2 linked regions of the Tamandua tetradactyla genome follow. The protein of the gene in region 2 interacts with the protein of the main gene of each other region in a pairwise test. Links are inferred from orthologs where the notes say so. Each region holds a gene or a part of one and is shown on either strand. Other genes may lie near its edges. The genes, in order: PRKRA and ADARB1.

Region 1 (8,199 bases), on a different chromosome or scaffold from region 2:
CGGGTTTATATATACAGAAAGTGTCATCTCATGTTACATGTCTGCCATACAGAATACAGATAGGGAAGTGGGGAGATAAGACTAACACCTAATTTCAGTAAGAAATCACTTCCAGTAAATGGTAAATTTAATCCTTTACCTTCTGGGTTTAAACTAGGTGTGGAGAATCTAGTGTGAAGTGGTGTCAGAATGCCGATGTCCATTCCTCCAATGTGGAAAGAAGAAAGGGGCATGGAAGAGGTTTTAAGCGTGACCCTTATATATCAGAGGACATACAAAGCATATTCATTTACCTACCAATATAGTATTAGGGAGACAGCAGTGAACAAAAGAGTCTCTTCCCTCACAGAGCATACAGTTTAGTGTGGGATTTCATCTGTCAATAGACATCTGAAACATGGAATGGTAAGGGTTAGGACCGACCTAAGCACATGTTGTAGCTGAGCACACAAGAGGGGAAGCTCCCCTACTTTTGGGAGGATTGAGAAAAAATTCATGGAGGAAGAGATAACCAAATGGAGACCTGAAAGATTAGTAAAAATCTGTAAGGTGAAGAGAGCTGGGGGGTTACGAAGAGCATTCTAGGTAGAAAAAAGGGCACAAAGGCTCAAAGCCAACACACACAGGGTGTTCTCAGGAGCCCCACCTGGTTGGCTAAAGTGTAAAAGCTTGTGGGAGGGAATTTTGAGATATAAGGCTGGAGAGTTGGGGAGCAGGGGAAGAGGTTAAAGAAGAGTCTCACAAATTTGGGTTTCTCAGATTTTAATATGCATAGGCAAGGGCTTGTAATTTTGCTAAAACACATATTCTAATCCAGTAGATCTGGGATGGGGCCTGATATTCTACATTTCCATCAAGCTCCCAGGTGATGGTTAATGCTACTATTACCATACCCGGAGAAGCAAGGCTGTAAGTCATGTTAAGAAATTTGTATTTATCCAGAGGGTGATGGGGAAACCAGTGAATAGATTTTAAGCAGAGGAACTACATCAGCAGACCTGGATGCTAGAAAGAACACTCTGGTTGTAGAGCGGAGAATGAACCGGACACCACAAGACTAGAAACTGAAAGGGTATCTATGATACTATAGCTATTATCCAGGTGAGAGATGACAGAGGCCTGGACAACAGTAATGGGAAGAGGAGAAAAGCAGACAGATCCAAGAGGTATTTAGGAGGCAGGATTTGGTGATAGTATAGACAAGAGAGGGGTGGGGAGGAGGAGTCAAAAAGAAACCCAAATTTCCCTTGTGTGAGCAACAGGTTGATAGCAGTACCTTTATTGAATAGAGAATGCAGGGGGACACATTTGAGGGAGTTGTGTTCACTTTGGGACAATGAATATTTGAGGTACCTTTGGGTTATCCAACAAAGATACCCAGCATAGCACAGGCTGGTACACCATGCTCTAATTGAGTCTGGGGGGAAAGGAGAGATTTCAGAATTACCAGTACTTAGTACTGAAGCTGTGGAGGCAGATGAGCTTGTAGAAGAGGAGAAGGTGGTATGAGAAGGGAAGAGGGCATAGGGCAGAATGGTTGCTGTGGGTTGTCAATCCCCATTCTAAAACACAGTGAGCAGGATAAAGGCTACTTCCACTTGAATTTTCACTGAATATTTTAAAATAGACCATGTGAAAAAGTAATGCAAGGTTCACGTGAGGAATCTTCCAGTCAACACCTACAATCCACCTGCCTCACAGAGACAAAAAAAGCTTCACTTTTTCTTAGAGTGGCTTCAATGAAAATAGCAGATTCCAGAATTCCAATGATACAAATGATGCCTTCAGATTACCAGAGGGCATCAATCTTCTTACTGAATTTTTTCTTGGCATTTTCCAAAATTACGTGTAGCATACAATATGTTTTGTGTTTGCAATTAAATATTGATATATGATAATTTTTTAAAAAGCCCACTTTACAGATGGACAACTTCAGTTATCATCTGCTCAAATTCCCAGAGCATTAAAAGACGTGAGTCTGAACTTTGTAACTTCTTTGCCGTGTGAGTCTGGACACATTATGTATAATCTCTCAACCTATTTCTTCATATATAAAAAGGGTATAATCATGTCATATAAAATATCAGTACAGTTTCAGGAATTAGAAGTTGCTGTACAATACAGCGTTGTGAAGCCTTCTGCCCTTCCTTTTGCTTACAGATAGAAATCAGATGTGGTACAATGGGCCCAAAGTGCCTAAAGAGTCAAGAAAAAATGGGGAGAGGCTCAGAAAATTCCGGGGTCATGTCTCCTGACATCTGCTGTAATCTTTCAGACTGCATATAATAACAGTGACAGTACCTACTAGTCCAGCTATGGCTATTTCAAGAAACTTCCCTACTTCTCCCCAGTCCCTAAAATTCAGGATATTTTAAGATATGAGAGGAACCTTGGATAAGTATTATCAGTTTCCAAGCTTCTCCTGATACCCAGGGAAGAGGAAACTAGGGAGATGAAGTTAAAATGTCCCAATATGCAGGGATGAGAAGTCTGTTTCAAAAATACATCATCCCCATAGCAGTTTCTAGGAAAACAGAGCGCCTTTTCGAACTGAAAAGCAATACCAAGACGTGATCACCAACCCACATGGTCATCGGGGTTAACTGTATACACACCTGTACAGGTTATGTCACCCACGGTTACTCTGAAGGTGAAAGTGGGCACGTGTATTTGCACATCGGATCTTTCGCATTCATAAACCGGGATGTTCTTGGTCTTCATGCCGTATTCGTGTAATACCTGGATTGGTGTTTTCCCTGGTTTAGCTGTGATCATCTTTCCTAAACTGCAAAAACCAGAAAAACGTGTGCTTTGAATGCCAATGAGGCGACGGAAGCAAAAGCATACAGAGGATAGTTTTGACCGCCACAGCGGTGACAGGTGAGACGCCGCAGCTGCTGCGGGTACCCGGCAGAGGCGGGCAGGCTGAGGGAGGTCTTTGGGGAGACAACCTGATTGGGGGTAAGAGGGGTTCTCTGGGGGACACAGCCGATGCCGGCGCCGCACCTGCTCAGGACCAAGCCCACAATCTCTTCCCAAAGAGCCTGCGATTTCTGACAATCGGTGGCCTCGCACCACCTTAGTCCATCCCAGGCGCCGCCAGGGAGAGGCGGGACCAGGGCCGAAAACCCCGGCCCAGGCGCCGCCAAGAGGGCGGGACCGAGGATCCGCGCACCGCCCGGCAGCCGGGCAGCCCGCCTGCAGCCGCGGGGGCGGCAACGCCAGGAAAGGGCTTTACCCACAATGCTGCTGGAGAGCCGGCTCCCTCGCCCCCGCCTCTCCTCCCCGATCCTCCCGCCCTGCCCGGCTCGGCCCGGCTGCCCGGACGCTGACCTGAAGGTCCCGCTGTCCTCGCGCTCCAGCGGCGGGGCCGCGGCGCGATGTCTGCTCTGGGACATGGCTAAAACAGACGGTTCGCCGTGGGAGGGAGAGCAGTGCGGAGCGACGTCCTCGCTTCTCGGGCCGGCGGATCCCGAGAGGAGGGCTTCAGCGCCACTGTCGCGGCCGCCTCCCCTCCTCCGACTCCCCCACCCCTCCCTGCTTGCGTCCCTGTTGCGATGGGGGCGGGCGAAGGGGCGGAGGAGGAGCCTCGGCACAGCGGTCCCGGCTCCCGGCCCCGCCCACGTCCCCGCCCACCGGCTCGCGGCTTTTCTCGGCTTCCGGCCCTGCCTCTCCCTTCCAGGCCCCGCCTCCTCCTCAACCGGGGCCTCTCTCGCCACTGCCCTTTCCCCTCTGCACTCCTCGGTCAGGCGCCGCTTACCCGGAGCCCGGCTCCGCTGGATTTAGCCCTGCCTGGGAGCTCGGGAGCTCGCAGTTCTTTGTCCTAAAAAGGAAGTAGTTTCCTGCCCGGAGGGAAAGCTTGTCAGGAGCCAGCCAGTGGTCAGGGAGGCCTGAAGCACACACTTTTTAAATTTTATTATAATTTTTTTTATTGCGTGATTGGGGGCTGGTCACTTGAAGAAAAATATTTCAAAATCCCGAATACAAAATTGGTGGTGCTGCAGCCCGGGACTGGGCCGGATGCTCGAGACTACAGGACGGCAGTGGGCGCTCCGGGCCCTGGAGCCCTGCTTTTAGGGGCACGCGGGATGTCTTGAGACCCCTTCTCTCCCGCCGGGCTGGCTCCATTGTCTCTTGGCTTTATTCACGACTCTGAGTTGTACCCTCCTGGACCGGCGGACCCAGCCAGCCATGTTAGGTGTAAACGCATGCTTTTCTGTAGACTCGATTCCAAATTAATCGCTGTTTCTGCAGAGCTGAGTTATTGGTCTAGTGGTGTTTTCCTCGGATACAACACCCTTGGTGGGGGTTAGACAACGACATTAGATGTCTCGTTTCCCTCGGGGTAGAAATTAACGGGCAGAAATTATTCCTGTGCTTACTCTGTGTCTTGGAAAAGGCTTTGCACAAAGCTCTTCTCGAGAAGGGACATTATTGAAATCAGCTCATTTTTTTAGATCCTGCGAGCCCTTGGACACTTGAAAGCAAATGAAAAAATGTCCAGAATCTAGCCAAATTTATTTCCGTTACTAGAGGCTCTAAGTAAGCCTATTCTCTTTCTCTTACCCCATTATGTATGTGTATCAATCAATCCACCAAAGTTATCATTTAGTAAATATCTTATAACCAACACATAGCCACTATTTCAGGATATATTAACGTCCACATGAGAACTATGGCAATACAGTATTTCAACACTCAGATTTGTTTCTAAAATTTATTTTTAGTGACAAAATTCCTTTAAAAACCCAAACCTCATGTAGCTCTCTTGAAGGTTGAGTGACTGGAATAATGAAGAAATAGAAAGAAAATAAATGCAGCAGGACCCCATTTCAAAGAGATGTAGTCTATGTGCCCCACTTCAGAGTCAAAAACCGTACATAATAAGTTTATGTAGTTATTTATATGTAACATGGTTTTAATTTAGTATTTTGAAAGAGTCACATACAATTGTTCCCCTGTTTTCTGTGAATTTATATTTAATATGAAATACCTCGTTTAAGCATTCAAGAAGGAAAATGAATGAAATGCTGAAACACTGAAGGGTATACTATAAGAATTCAAAGCAGTGCTTTTCTGTTGCCAGAACTGGCATGGTGGACCTAGGAATTCCCTTCTGACTATGTCTACTGTAAATGGTATCCAAGGCTAATGTTGGTACCTCTGCGTTATTTCCTTTAGGGCTATATGTTTCCCACAAAATTGGGATTCTGACTGCTACCTGGTCATGACCCTGATCAAGAACTTTGGTAATATTTAGGTAATATTAGTTTTCCATGTATATTGTAGTGCATTAGATTGGCATTACAAATTAGACTTGCTTTTAGTATATCATTTTACACCATCGATCTATAATTCATTACTTGAGCACACCAGGGGCAGCAGTGTTGTGAATTGTACGCTGGTAAACTACTTGGCGAAAACCATGTTTTACATTTTTGAAGTATATAATTATATTTAAAATCAAGCAAGGCTGATTCACTTTGAGACTATGGATTTGTTATCTGGGGGTTGCAGTGGATGACACTTTGATATCATATTAATATGTTTGCTGCTGCTACTAGGAGCTTTGTCAAACAAGTTGGAGATGGAGGGAGATTAGTTCCTGTTCCAAGCCTCAGTGAAGCTGACAAGTACCAACCGCTCAGTCTGGTGGTAAAAAAGAAGCGATGCTTTCTGTTTCCTAGATATAAATTTTCTTCAACGCCATTTACCCTGAAAGATATTCTCCTAGGAGACAGAGAAATTTCTGCTGGTAAGTTTAAATGTCTGCTTGGTAGTAACTATCAGCTGTATCCTTGGTAACCTAAATATAGGCATATATACTACCTATATCAGTAATACACATTGTCAGTGATAAAGCAACTTTTATTACAACAGTAGTAGTGTTAAAATTAACAATGCCTGGAATTTATATACTATCAAATCTCGAATGGTTGAATAACTTTCAAAACTATCGATTACTTTGTAAGTTGCTGTAACCAAATCATTATAGAATATGATATATTTCTTTATCTGTACAACGTATTACTTGGTCTACTTACCTCACATGGTCAAATGAGATACTGGAGATGTAAGTAACTTGCATTTACTTTTCACAATTTAGTTATTAGAACTGGTAAACTGAAAAAATATTTTACAGGCTAGATCAGAAAATAACTGGAAGTTGACATTTTGACAACTTATTTCTTATAAACGCTTGTGTTTTTCTTCAACCACCTAGCGGATCTTGATGCTTTAGAAGTTCTGTTGACTGAAAAGAGAATGCAGGTTCTTCTGAAGGAGTCTGGCTCTTTCTATGTCAAATTCATCAAATGGCTATTTTTAATCTTGGTTTGAAATGTTCCCTTTCTTGTTAACCTTTGGGTAATTGAGTCTTGAATTGTAAGTTAACCTTTTACTATCTATAATTTACAGTGAATGAATTCAAGACATTAATATACTAATTTCTTTTTCTTCAAGGTATTTCTTCTTATCAGTTACTGAATTATGAGGATGAATCAGATGTTTCACTTCATGGAAGACGAGGCAACCATATCGTGAATGATGTTGGGATTAATGTTACTGGATCAGATTCAGTTGCAGTAAAAGCTTCATTTGGTATAGTAACCAAACATGAAGTGGAAGTACCGACATTACTCAAGGAGATTTCTACACGGTAGGTTTAATAATTCTGAATATACTTGAATGTTTTCATTAAATATTTTAACCATATAAACTAAATAAAGCATTATAAAATATATAAAATACACATATTTTACTAGTATAATTTGTTTGAAACACACAAATTAGTAGTACCTCCAAACTTTGAATAAGGGGCAGTATCCAAAATAATTTGCTTACAGCATTTTTAATTGTTCCACAAAATCGCTTCAGCTCTTTCACATTTGGCTAAATTATTAGATTGAAAGAATATAGGAATCTGCCTGTCACCAATATACTAAGAGGTTCCCCTCCAGTGGACTCCTATAATAAATATGTTTTAAGAAGATAGAAAGAAAGGCAGATTATGAAATTTCTTTTGGGCATGCTTTCTGATTTAAGCCTGCCTTGCTTTACTTTTGGTTATGTTGGACCATGAGTGAGTAACACATGACAGCATAAAATGTACTTGATTCTACATAATTACATGTTACAGCTTCTTGTGAATATGTCTCTTCTTTATTTTAGAAAAATTAATTTTGACCACAGCTTAATACGTCAGTCACGGAGTTGCAGAAAGGCTGTATTATGTGTGGTCATGGAAAGCATTCGCACCACAAGGCAGTGCTCTCTCTCTGTGCATGCTGGAATTCGTGGGGAAGCAATGCGGGTAAACTACACTATTTAGGCCTCGCTAAGAAGTTGCAGTGGGGATTTAAATTAAAATACTCAATTTCTAAAGGCGCTTATACTGCATGTATTTTGTCAAATGCTGCAGTTGTATAGGATGTTGCATAGTAATGGTTTTGTGTCAGAATATGAAAAAAATTCAAGAAAACATGAAGTCTAAACATGTGTAACATAATGCAACCCAAACAGCTATCCTTGTGAAATAAGATGCATACTGGAGCCCTCCTTTTACTATTTAAATGTTGTTTTAAGAATAACCATTGAGTGTTTAAATCTTTGATTTTATTTTTAAGTAATGGAGTTTCTGCACTGACATTTTAAAAGATGAAATTGTATTTTTATATTAAAGTTATTTTTCTAAAATAATATTTCAATGGCCAAACAACTCTTGTTCAACGTTAAAACCTTTAACAAAAGCTTAGAAAATTATTTGTGTGTAACTTTCAGCCCATTTATATTGTTTACCATTGTCATCCAGTGACACTTAGTAATGATTTGATTGGTTTTTATTAAAACCAGCATTAGAAAGATAGAGTTCATTGATGATTTTTTCAAGTCTTTGCAAATTAAGGTTCTGTTCAGTACTTGTGTTCAACTGCCCAACAAATTGATTAATATTGGATCATTTCTTGGACACAAACAGAGTCATTTCATTGAAAATAATTTATTGATTGCTTTGGAAAGATGCTGAAGGCTATGGGGCTTTGGGATAAAAGGTAGGGAAATTGAAAAACATCAGCTGTAGCACTTAAATGCAGTTGGTTTCCAAGAGCTGCAGCTGAAAGAAAAAAAGACTTCTATTCCAGAGAGATTACAAATTTGGAAGCACTAATGCTGTTGGCTCCAATACCAAAGTGAGGAAGAGGT
Region 2 (8,904 bases):
CCGGAAATGTTTATGTTCACGTCTGTGTCCATTTCAAATTAATTTTTGCACACTTTAGTAAGTGAGGATCAAGGTCATTTTTCTAACATACAAACACCCAACTATTTCAGTGCCATTTATTTAAAAAGTGACCCTTCCCACGTTGGCGCTGCTGAAGACAGCCAACTGGCCGCAGCCTGGCGTCTATTTCTGCTCCCAGTTCTGTCCCACGCACTGACGTGTCACGTCTTACACCAACGCTGTAGCTTTCTAAGTTTTGAAATCAGGCAGGATAAGCCCTCCAGCCTTTTACTTCTTTTAGAAACTATTTGGGCTGTTCCAGGTCCAATGCATTCCCCAAAGCTGACACAGGCGCTTTAACACAGCCCTTCCTTAAAAACCTAAAAACTAACGTGGATTCTGAACAGCCACTGCAAGCCCCAAGGTTCAGCGCTTCCTGGAGCTCCGGGCGCAACTGGCCTGGAGAGACACCTGTTAGTCACGTGCTAAACTGCCTGGTGCCGAAGACAGGTGCAGACATCACTCCGGGAACAGCAAAACCCGTCTGAGGAAGAGTGAAAGCAGCTTCTTGAAGGAGGTGGGATGGGCATGAAGACCGGGGAGCAGACAGCAACCCCCGAGCCTTGAGCTGACACGCCGCGCCTCTCCTAGTGCGAACCAAGGATGATTAATTACTACTATCGTGATTATCGCCACCCGCATCCTCCCCGGGGGGCAGGTGCTGTTCTTACTCCCCCTCGGCAGGTGAGGGAGCCCGAGCTGCAGGGACCGAGCTCCGCAGCCAGCAGGAGGCTGCTGGACATAAACTAGCTTGCTTCTGAAACATGGTTTTCCAAGCTACGCTGCAGCATCTCTGCACAAGGGTTGTGGCGTCTCTTATTCTTCCTTGGTCTCAGCTTTCTCATGGGTAAAGCTAAAAAACAGGTCTGCGTGAAATTGAAGCGAAATGGTTAAACCTAAAACCATGTCCACTTGCTGGTGATGGCCGTCTGGGGCCCACGCCAGCACGGCCCAGTGCAGAGGCAGCGCTCAACACGCCCATGGGAGCGGGAACCCGGCTGACTGCAGGAATAACACACGAGGCACGCTCCAGCAGTCTCCACCACCTTCAGGGAAGACGTTTCGGCCCTTTCCAGGACTCATGACAAGTAAAACAATTTTGACTTGATTTTAAACGCTTGCAATTTTCCTTCCTTCCACTGCACTGGATGCAACCACTTAGGACTGGCACATCCTTTTCTGACGAGGCACCCGGGTGCAGAAGTCAAGGGGTTCAGCCCCTGCAGAGCTCCGTGCAGGGAAGGGTGACGGCCAGTCCGTGGTGCAGCCTTCCCTTGCGGTCCTCATGGCCAGAGGCAGCTTTAGCCTGGCGGGAAAAGGCAGCCAAGGAGGGCAGTTGGGCTCTCACTTATTGAACAGAAGGCAGTGCCTTGAGACCTGCCTTCCCCACTCGAGCCCCCGAGCTGTGGCACTTTGGCCTCTGTGCGTGAGAGGACCTGCAAAATCCTCACCCTCACTGTCCAAAAACAAATTCAGTCTTCAGTTTGATACGACTGCTACTTCTAACGTTTCCACCTACACTGCACGGGGACTAGAATTTCAGATCTGAAGATAAAGATTAATTACAGAACAATGACTGAAGTCCGAGCAGGTGTGCTGACACCTCCACCAGGTGGCACGAGAGCCTGACCTCACCTTCCCTCCCGAGGCAGAGAGCCGGCAGGGAACTCGGCAGCTGAGGATGCGAGTGCCAAGATGAAAAGGGAGACGAGTCCTATTCCCAGGCCACAGCCAGGGAGGGAAGGTCTCTGAGCAGAGGCTCGGGGCCATGGCTGGGGGGTGTCACCTCACAGAGGCTGGGGGGCCACGACTGGGGGGGCCACGCCCACTGAAGCTGGGAACGTGCACGAGTTGAGATGGAAACAGGAGCACAGGAAGCATCTGCGGTTCGCAGGCCACAGAGGCCAAAGGAGAGGGAACCCAGAAGTCACAGGGCCTCAGGTGCTCAGCTGAGCACCAGTTAGAACGCCGAAGGTTTGAGGAAGGGATCCGCAGCTGGAAAGACACATGGGCAGCCCCTGGGGCTCACACAGGGCCGGGGACAGTGCCTGTTCTCTCATAACCTCATAGGAGCATGAAGGCGTGGGAATACACACACCTCACAGAGCTCACACCTGTGTCCTAACCGAGGGTTAAAACATAACCTGAAAGGACAAACCTGTTCAAGGCAACTCGGCTGTGTTGCCCCAGAGCTAAGCTCAAGACCATTTCTAAGAATTCCATATCTACCCATCACCCAACAAGGTCAAATTCCCAGTGCCAACAAAAAATTATCAGGCATGATAACATCATAATGTGATGTCATGGTCAGCCTCATGTGTCAGCTTGACCAAGGTGGTGGTACCTGTTTGTCTGGTTGGGCAAGTGCCTGCCTGTCTGTTGAGATGAGGACATTTCATAGAATTAAATCATGATCACGTTGGTTGCATCCACAGCTGATTCCATTTGTAATCGGCCAAGGGGGGTGTCTTCTGCAATGAGGGATGCTCAATCTAATCACTGGAAGCCTTTTAAGGAGGATTCATAAGAGACAGGCTCTCTTCCTGCTTCGGCTGGTGAGCCTCTCCTGTGGAGTTTGTCCAGACCCTCCATTGGAGTTGTCGGCTTCACAACCTGCCCTGTGGATTTTGGACTCTGCATTCCCATGGTCACGTGAGATACTTTTACGAAATATTTACGAATATTTTCTGTTGATTCTGTTTCTCTAGAGAACCCTAACTAATACAACTTGATACAGGAGTGGGGTCTTAAGGAATAGAATCCTAAAAAGGGGTTTTTACGATTGGTTTTCTACTCTGACTGGGCTCAGAGGCACTAAGGCCTCTGATTCCCATAATCAGAATGACATTCAGTCCATGGAGTGAGTTGGCAAAAGAGATAGTCAAAACATCACCATTTGATTCTTCTAAGGCTTTGCCTGCATGAAGCCAGGCTCTGGGGGATAATGTTTTTGACAGCTTTACGGAGCTTTGTGGAAATAAGAGGCATAGAGTTGTCGCTAGATATACCGGGTACGTTAATGAGTGAAAGGGGTGGGCTTAAGACTTCAAATGAGAAGCTTATGTGCCATCTGACAGCTGTACACACTTCTATGAATGTCCTGAAGGAAAATCTTATTTCCTGTAGCTGTAGACTTGAGATCTCCAAAAATCAGACTCAGAATCTTATTGTTAGAGTAGCAACTTTACAATATAAACTGAAATCTCAATCTAGCATGGTACCTGCTGTTAAACTGAGGGCACTGATTGGAAAGGAGTGGGACCCTGAAAAATAGGATGGTGACATATGAACTGATAATGATGTCGGTGGCAAGGTTGAAACCCTCGGTCATGCCAAGTCTTCTCTAGATAACCCTGTAATAGTCTAATAGTCTGCCCTGAGGACATAGCCACCCCACCTCCTGCCTGCCTTGAAGAGTTGGCCACTGTGGTAGTCAGTTGTCAGCTTGGCCAGGTGAAGGCACCTAGTTCTGTTGCTGTGGACATGAGCCAATGGCATGTGAAGCGCATCTGTTGCTGATTACATCTGCAGTTGGCTAGGAGGCGTGTCTGCTGCAATGAATGAAGTTTGACTTAATTGGCTGGTGCTTAAATGAGAGCTCAACACACAGCCCAAGCAGCTCAGCATTCCTCATCTCAGTCCTTGCAGCTCAGGCCAGGCCTTTGGAGATGCAGAAAGAAATCACCCCGGGGAAAGCTGTTGGAACCCAGAGGCCTGGAGAGAAGGCCAGCAGAGACCATCCTGTGCCTTCCCACGTAAGAAAGAAACTCAGTGGAAAGTTAGCTGCCTTTCCTCTGAAGAATTAACAAAATAAATCCCCTTTTATTTAAAAGCCAATCCATCTCTGGTGTGTTGCATTCTGGCAGCTAGCAAACTAGAACAGCCACCCAACCTCCTGCTGAAGGGATTAGCCCTAGAGTGATTAATCCTGTTTCACCAGATGAAACTGCAAATGAAGGCCCTGAAGCAAATGGCTTGGAAGATATTTCTAATTCTTTTCATGACCCACCCCCACCACCCCTCATTTCCTCCAGACCTATAACTAGACTAAAGTCCCAACAGGCCCCTAAAGGTGAGGTACAAAGTATCACACATGAGGAGGTACATTATACTCCCAAAGAACTGTGTGAGTTTTCCAATTTATATAGACAGAAATCAGGGGAATATGTGTGGCAATGGATTTTAAGAGTGTGGGATAATGGTGGGAGGAATATAAGGGTGGATCAGGCTGAATTTATTGATATGGGCCCACTAAGCAGAGATTCTGCATTCGATGTTATAGCTCAAGTGGTTAGAAAAGGTATTAACAGTTTGTTTGGATGGTTGGTTGAAACATGGATCAAAAGGTGGCCAACATTACTTGAGGTTGAAAAGCCAGAACTGCCCTGGTACAATGTAGATGAGGGGATCCAGAGGCTTAGAGAGACTGGAATGTTAGAGTGGATTTATCATGCAAACACTGCTCTTACACCCCAGGAATGTCCGGAGGATGAACCTTTTACCAGAACAGCGAAAAATAAATTTGTGAGACTAACGCCATCCTCACTGAAGAGCTCTGTGGTTGCACTTCTCTGTAGGTCAGATATTACTGTGGGAACTGCTGTCACTGAGCTGGAATCCTTAAACACAATAGGGATGACAGGATCCCGAGTTGGCAGAAGCCAGGTGGCAGCACTTAATCGCCAAAGACAGGGTGGATGTGGTTATTATAATAGACAACAAACTCAAAGCAGGAGTTAAAATTATGACTCACAGCGATTTGTGGCATTGGCTAGTAAATCATGGGGTACCTAGAAATACAATAGAAGGGCAGTCTACTAAATTCTTGTTCAAGCTGTATAAACAAAAGAGTTCTAGGTCAAGTGAACAGAAGTCTAACCTGAATTACAAAAACACAGAGTCACGGCCCCTTAATCAATTTCCAGACTTGAAACAGTTTACAGACCCAGAGCCCCTTGAACAAACATGATTATTTTTATACTTTTGAATTTTGAGTTTTTTACATATTCTATGTATCAGTCCTTTGTCAGATAAATGGTGTTCTAGTTTGCTAGCTGCCAGAATGCAATATATCAGAAACAGGATGGCTTTTAAAAAGGGGAATTTAATAAGTTGCTAGTTTACAGTTCTAAGGCCGAGAAAATGTCCCAATTACAAGTCTATAGAAATGTCCAATCTAAAGCATCCAGGGAAAGATACCTTGGTTCAACAAGGCTGATGAAGTTCAGGGTTTCTCTCTCGAGTGAGAAGGTACATGGCAAACACAGTCACACTTCCTCTCTCATCTGGAAGGGCACATGGCGAACATGGCAGAGTCTGCTAGCTTCTTCTCCTGGCTTCCTGTTTCATGAAGCTCCCTGGGAGGCCTTTTCCTTCTTCATCTCCAAAGGTCGCTGGCTGGTGGACTCTGCTTCTCATGGCTATGTCGTTCTGCTCTGCTCTCTCTGAATCTCTCCCATTCTCCAAAATGTTTCCTCTTTTATAGGACTTCAGAAACTAATCAAGACCTACCCAAATGGGTGGAGACATGTCATCACCTAATTCATCTTAACAACCATTCTTGATTATATCACATGTCCAGGGAGATGATCTAATTACAGTTTCAAACATACAATGCTGAATGGGGATTAGAAGAAATGGCTGCCTTTACAAAATGGGATTAGGATTAAAACATGGCTTTTCTAGGGTCCATATATCATTTCAAGCCAGCACAAAAGGGGAGGCCAGGTCCCTTTGGGGGAGAACCCTGTTACACTGCCACAAATTTATACTGTTAATCTTCCTCCAAGCCTTCCCCAAGGAGACCGATGACCTTTTACCAGGGCAACTGTGCATTGGGGAAAAGGAAATGATCAGATATTTCGGGGATTATTAGACACTGATTAAGAAGTGACATTAATTCCAGGGGACCCAAAACGTCACTCTGGTCCACCCATCAGAGTGGGGGCTTATGGAGGCCAGGTGATCGATGGAGTTCATCTCACGTGGGTCCAGTTGGCCCCTGGACCCATTCAGTAGTTATTTCCCCAGTTCCAGAATGCATAACTGGAATAAACATACTAAGTAACTAGCAGAATCCCCACATTGGCTCTCTAAGTCATGGAGTGAGGGCTAATATGGTGGGAAAGGCCAAGTGGAAGCCACTAGAACTGCCCTTTATAGGAAAATAGAAATCAGAAGCAATATTGGGAGCTTCTGGGCCAAGATGGCGGCTTAGCAAGGTGCGCATTTTAGTTTGTCCTCCAGAACAACTACTAAATAACCAGAAACAGTAAAAAAAACAGCTCCTAGGGCCACATCAGTGCCTGGACACACAGCGTATCCCAGTCTGGACCAGCTGCGAGCCCCCCTAGAACCGTGTGTTCCCAGGCCGTGGTGGCCAGTGCCCCTCCCCCACAGGCTGCTTCCCAGAGGGGAAAGGAAAGGAACTTTACCAGCAGCAGGGACTGAGCACTACCAAATGCCAATTGTGGAATTAATTCACAAATTCTGACTACTAAAAATAGGCCCCCAGCTCAGGTGAACCTGGTCAAAGCGGGGGTCGCTCATTTTTGCCCTGGCCAAGGGGGCAGGGCTGATGGAAAAAGGAAAAAAAAGGAAACAGAGGTTTTGTGGCTGTGTTTCTACAAAGGCTTGACTGCCTCTGGATACACTGGCAGGACTTCTCAGGCTGCAACTGCCCCAGGCATAGGCAGAAACAAGCTCGTTTGAGGGCTCGTCTGGAGCCTGTGCCTTCCCCAGGGGAGGGGTAAAGCCCCACCCAGGTGGAATCCTTCCCTCAAGGAACTCAGACCCCAGGGCTTGGCAATTTGAAGTCATTAAAACCAGCCTACAACCTCTCCTCTGTCTCCACCACGCCCCCAGCAGGGAGAGTCTGTTGAAGTTAAAGGTACCGCATCATCTTATGCTGGTGGGACCTGCAGGCAGACAAGCACCTCACATTGGGCAGGATAAGAAAAACACAGAGACTTCACAGGAAGGTCTTTCAACCTGCTGGGTCTCACCCTCAGGAAAACCGATGCAGGTGACTCATACCTCCTGATAGGAGGCCAGTTTGGTCTGGGAAAATCTGGCTGGGGTCTATAATATCTAAGTAGACCCTCCTAAGTGTGTGTGTGTGGGGAAGGCACCACACAAGCAGGGCAAGAAACAAGAAAACAAGAACTGAAAAATTCTCCTCTGTTAAACAAAACCTAAGCTAGAGGTCCAGAAAAAGCTGAACTGAATGTCAAACAACAGATAGAGAACAAATTCATCCAGCAGGAAAACCCTAGATAAAAGAAGTGAAAGCAATCTCCAGAATAGACTAATTAAGGTAATTAAATGCCTAGACGCCAGCAAAAAATAACACTCCTGGGAGTCATGTCCCATGTAGAGGGCTGAGAGATTTCAAACAGTCAAGAGGTTATCCTGGAGGTTATTCTTAGGCATTAAATAGTTATCACATTTTTAGTTAAGGCATAACAGAGAGGCTGGAGGGAACTGCCTGAAAATGTAGAGCTGTGTTCCAGTAGCCATGTTTCTTGATGATGATTGAATAATGATATAGCTTTCACAATGTGACTGTGTGATTGTGAAAACCTTGTGTCTGATGCTCCTTTTATCTACCTTGTCAACAAACAAGTAGACATATGGAATAAAAATAAATAATAGGGGGAACAAATGTTAAAATAAACTTAATTTGAAATGCTAGTGATCAATGAAAGGGAAGGGTAAGCGGTATGGTATGTATAATTTTTTTTTCTGTTTTCATTTTATTTCTTTTTCCATTGTCTTTTTCTGAATTGGTGCAAATGTTCTAAGAAATGATCACGTTGATGAATATGCAACTATGTGATGATATTGTGAATTACTGATTATATATGTAGAACAGAATGATTATATATTATGAATGTTTGTGCTTCTTTGTTGTCATTTTTTTTATTTAAAATTAATTTAAAAATTAGAAAAAAAAAAAAAGAAGAAGCAAGGCTGGATTCCTGAAAGGATTGCAGAGATTACTGCCACTCTTAAGGACTTGAAGGATGCAGGGGTGGTGATTCCCACCACATCCCCATTCAATTCTCCTATTTGGCCTGTGTCAAATGGGTCTTGGAGGATGACAGTGGATTATCATAAGCTCAACCAGGTGACAACTCCAATTCCAGCTGCTGTTCCAGATGGGATATCATTGCTTGAGCAAATCAACATGTCGCCTGGTACCTGGTATGCAGCTATTGATCAGGCAAATGCTTTTTTCTCAATAGCTGTTAGTAAGGACCACCAGAAACAGTTTGCTTTCAGCTGGCAAAGTCAGCAATATACTTTCACTGTCCTACCTCAGGGGTGTATCAACTCTCCAGCCCTATGTCATAATCTTGTCAACAGGGACCTTGATCATTTCTCCCTCCCACAAGACATCACAGTGGTCCCTTATATTGATGATATCATGCTGATTGGACCTAGTGAGTGAGAATAGCAAGTACTCTAGACTTACTGGTAAGGTATTAATGTTATCAGGGGATGGGAGATAAATCCAACAAAAATGCAGGGGCCTTCTAACTCAGTGAAATTTCTAGGTGTCCAGTGGTGTGGGGCATGTCGAGATATCCCTTCTAAGGTGAAGGATAAGTTGCTGCATCTGGCCCCTCCTACAACCAAAAAAGAGGCACAACGCCTACTTGGTCTCTTTGGATTTTGGTGACAACATATTCCTCATTTGGGTGTGCTACTCTGGCCCATTTATCGAGTGACCAGAAAAGCTGCTAATTTTGAGTGGGGACCTGAACAAGAGGAGGCTCTGCGACAGGTCCAGGCTGCTGTACAAGCTGCTCTGCCACTTGGGCCATATGATCCAGCAGATCC

The links.
Region 1: the proteins of ADARB1 (region 2) and PRKRA interact in binary tests that used the Homo sapiens proteins (3 or more experiments, as listed by UniProt). The link is inferred for Tamandua tetradactyla from reciprocal best matches to the Homo sapiens genes ADARB1 and PRKRA.

The regions. Positions count from the first base shown.
Region 1 is NC_135329.1:150,949,561-150,957,759, forward strand, and holds the start of PRKRA (interferon-inducible double-stranded RNA-dependent protein kinase activator A), read right to left. Parts: upstream 3,633-8,199; 5' UTR 3,399-3,632; coding exon 3,334-3,398; intron 3,199-3,333; exon of another isoform or gene 3,007-3,198; intron 2,881-3,006; coding exon of another isoform or gene 2,816-2,880; exon of another isoform or gene 2,807-2,815; intron 2,786-2,806; coding exon 2,616-2,785; intron 1-2,615. Other genes in the region: PJVK (pejvakin), read left to right, coding at 2,816-2,880, 5,565-5,755, 6,463-6,658, 7,171-7,312. UniProt on the Homo sapiens protein: Activates EIF2AK2/PKR in the absence of double-stranded RNA (dsRNA), leading to phosphorylation of EIF2S1/EFI2-alpha and inhibition of translation and induction of apoptosis.
Region 2 is NC_135336.1:107,393,592-107,402,495, reverse strand, and holds the start of ADARB1 (double-stranded RNA-specific editase 1), read right to left. Parts: upstream 3,418-8,904; 5' UTR 1,831-3,417; coding exon 1,696-1,830; intron 1-1,695. UniProt on the Homo sapiens protein: Catalyzes the hydrolytic deamination of adenosine to inosine in double-stranded RNA (dsRNA) referred to as A-to-I RNA editing.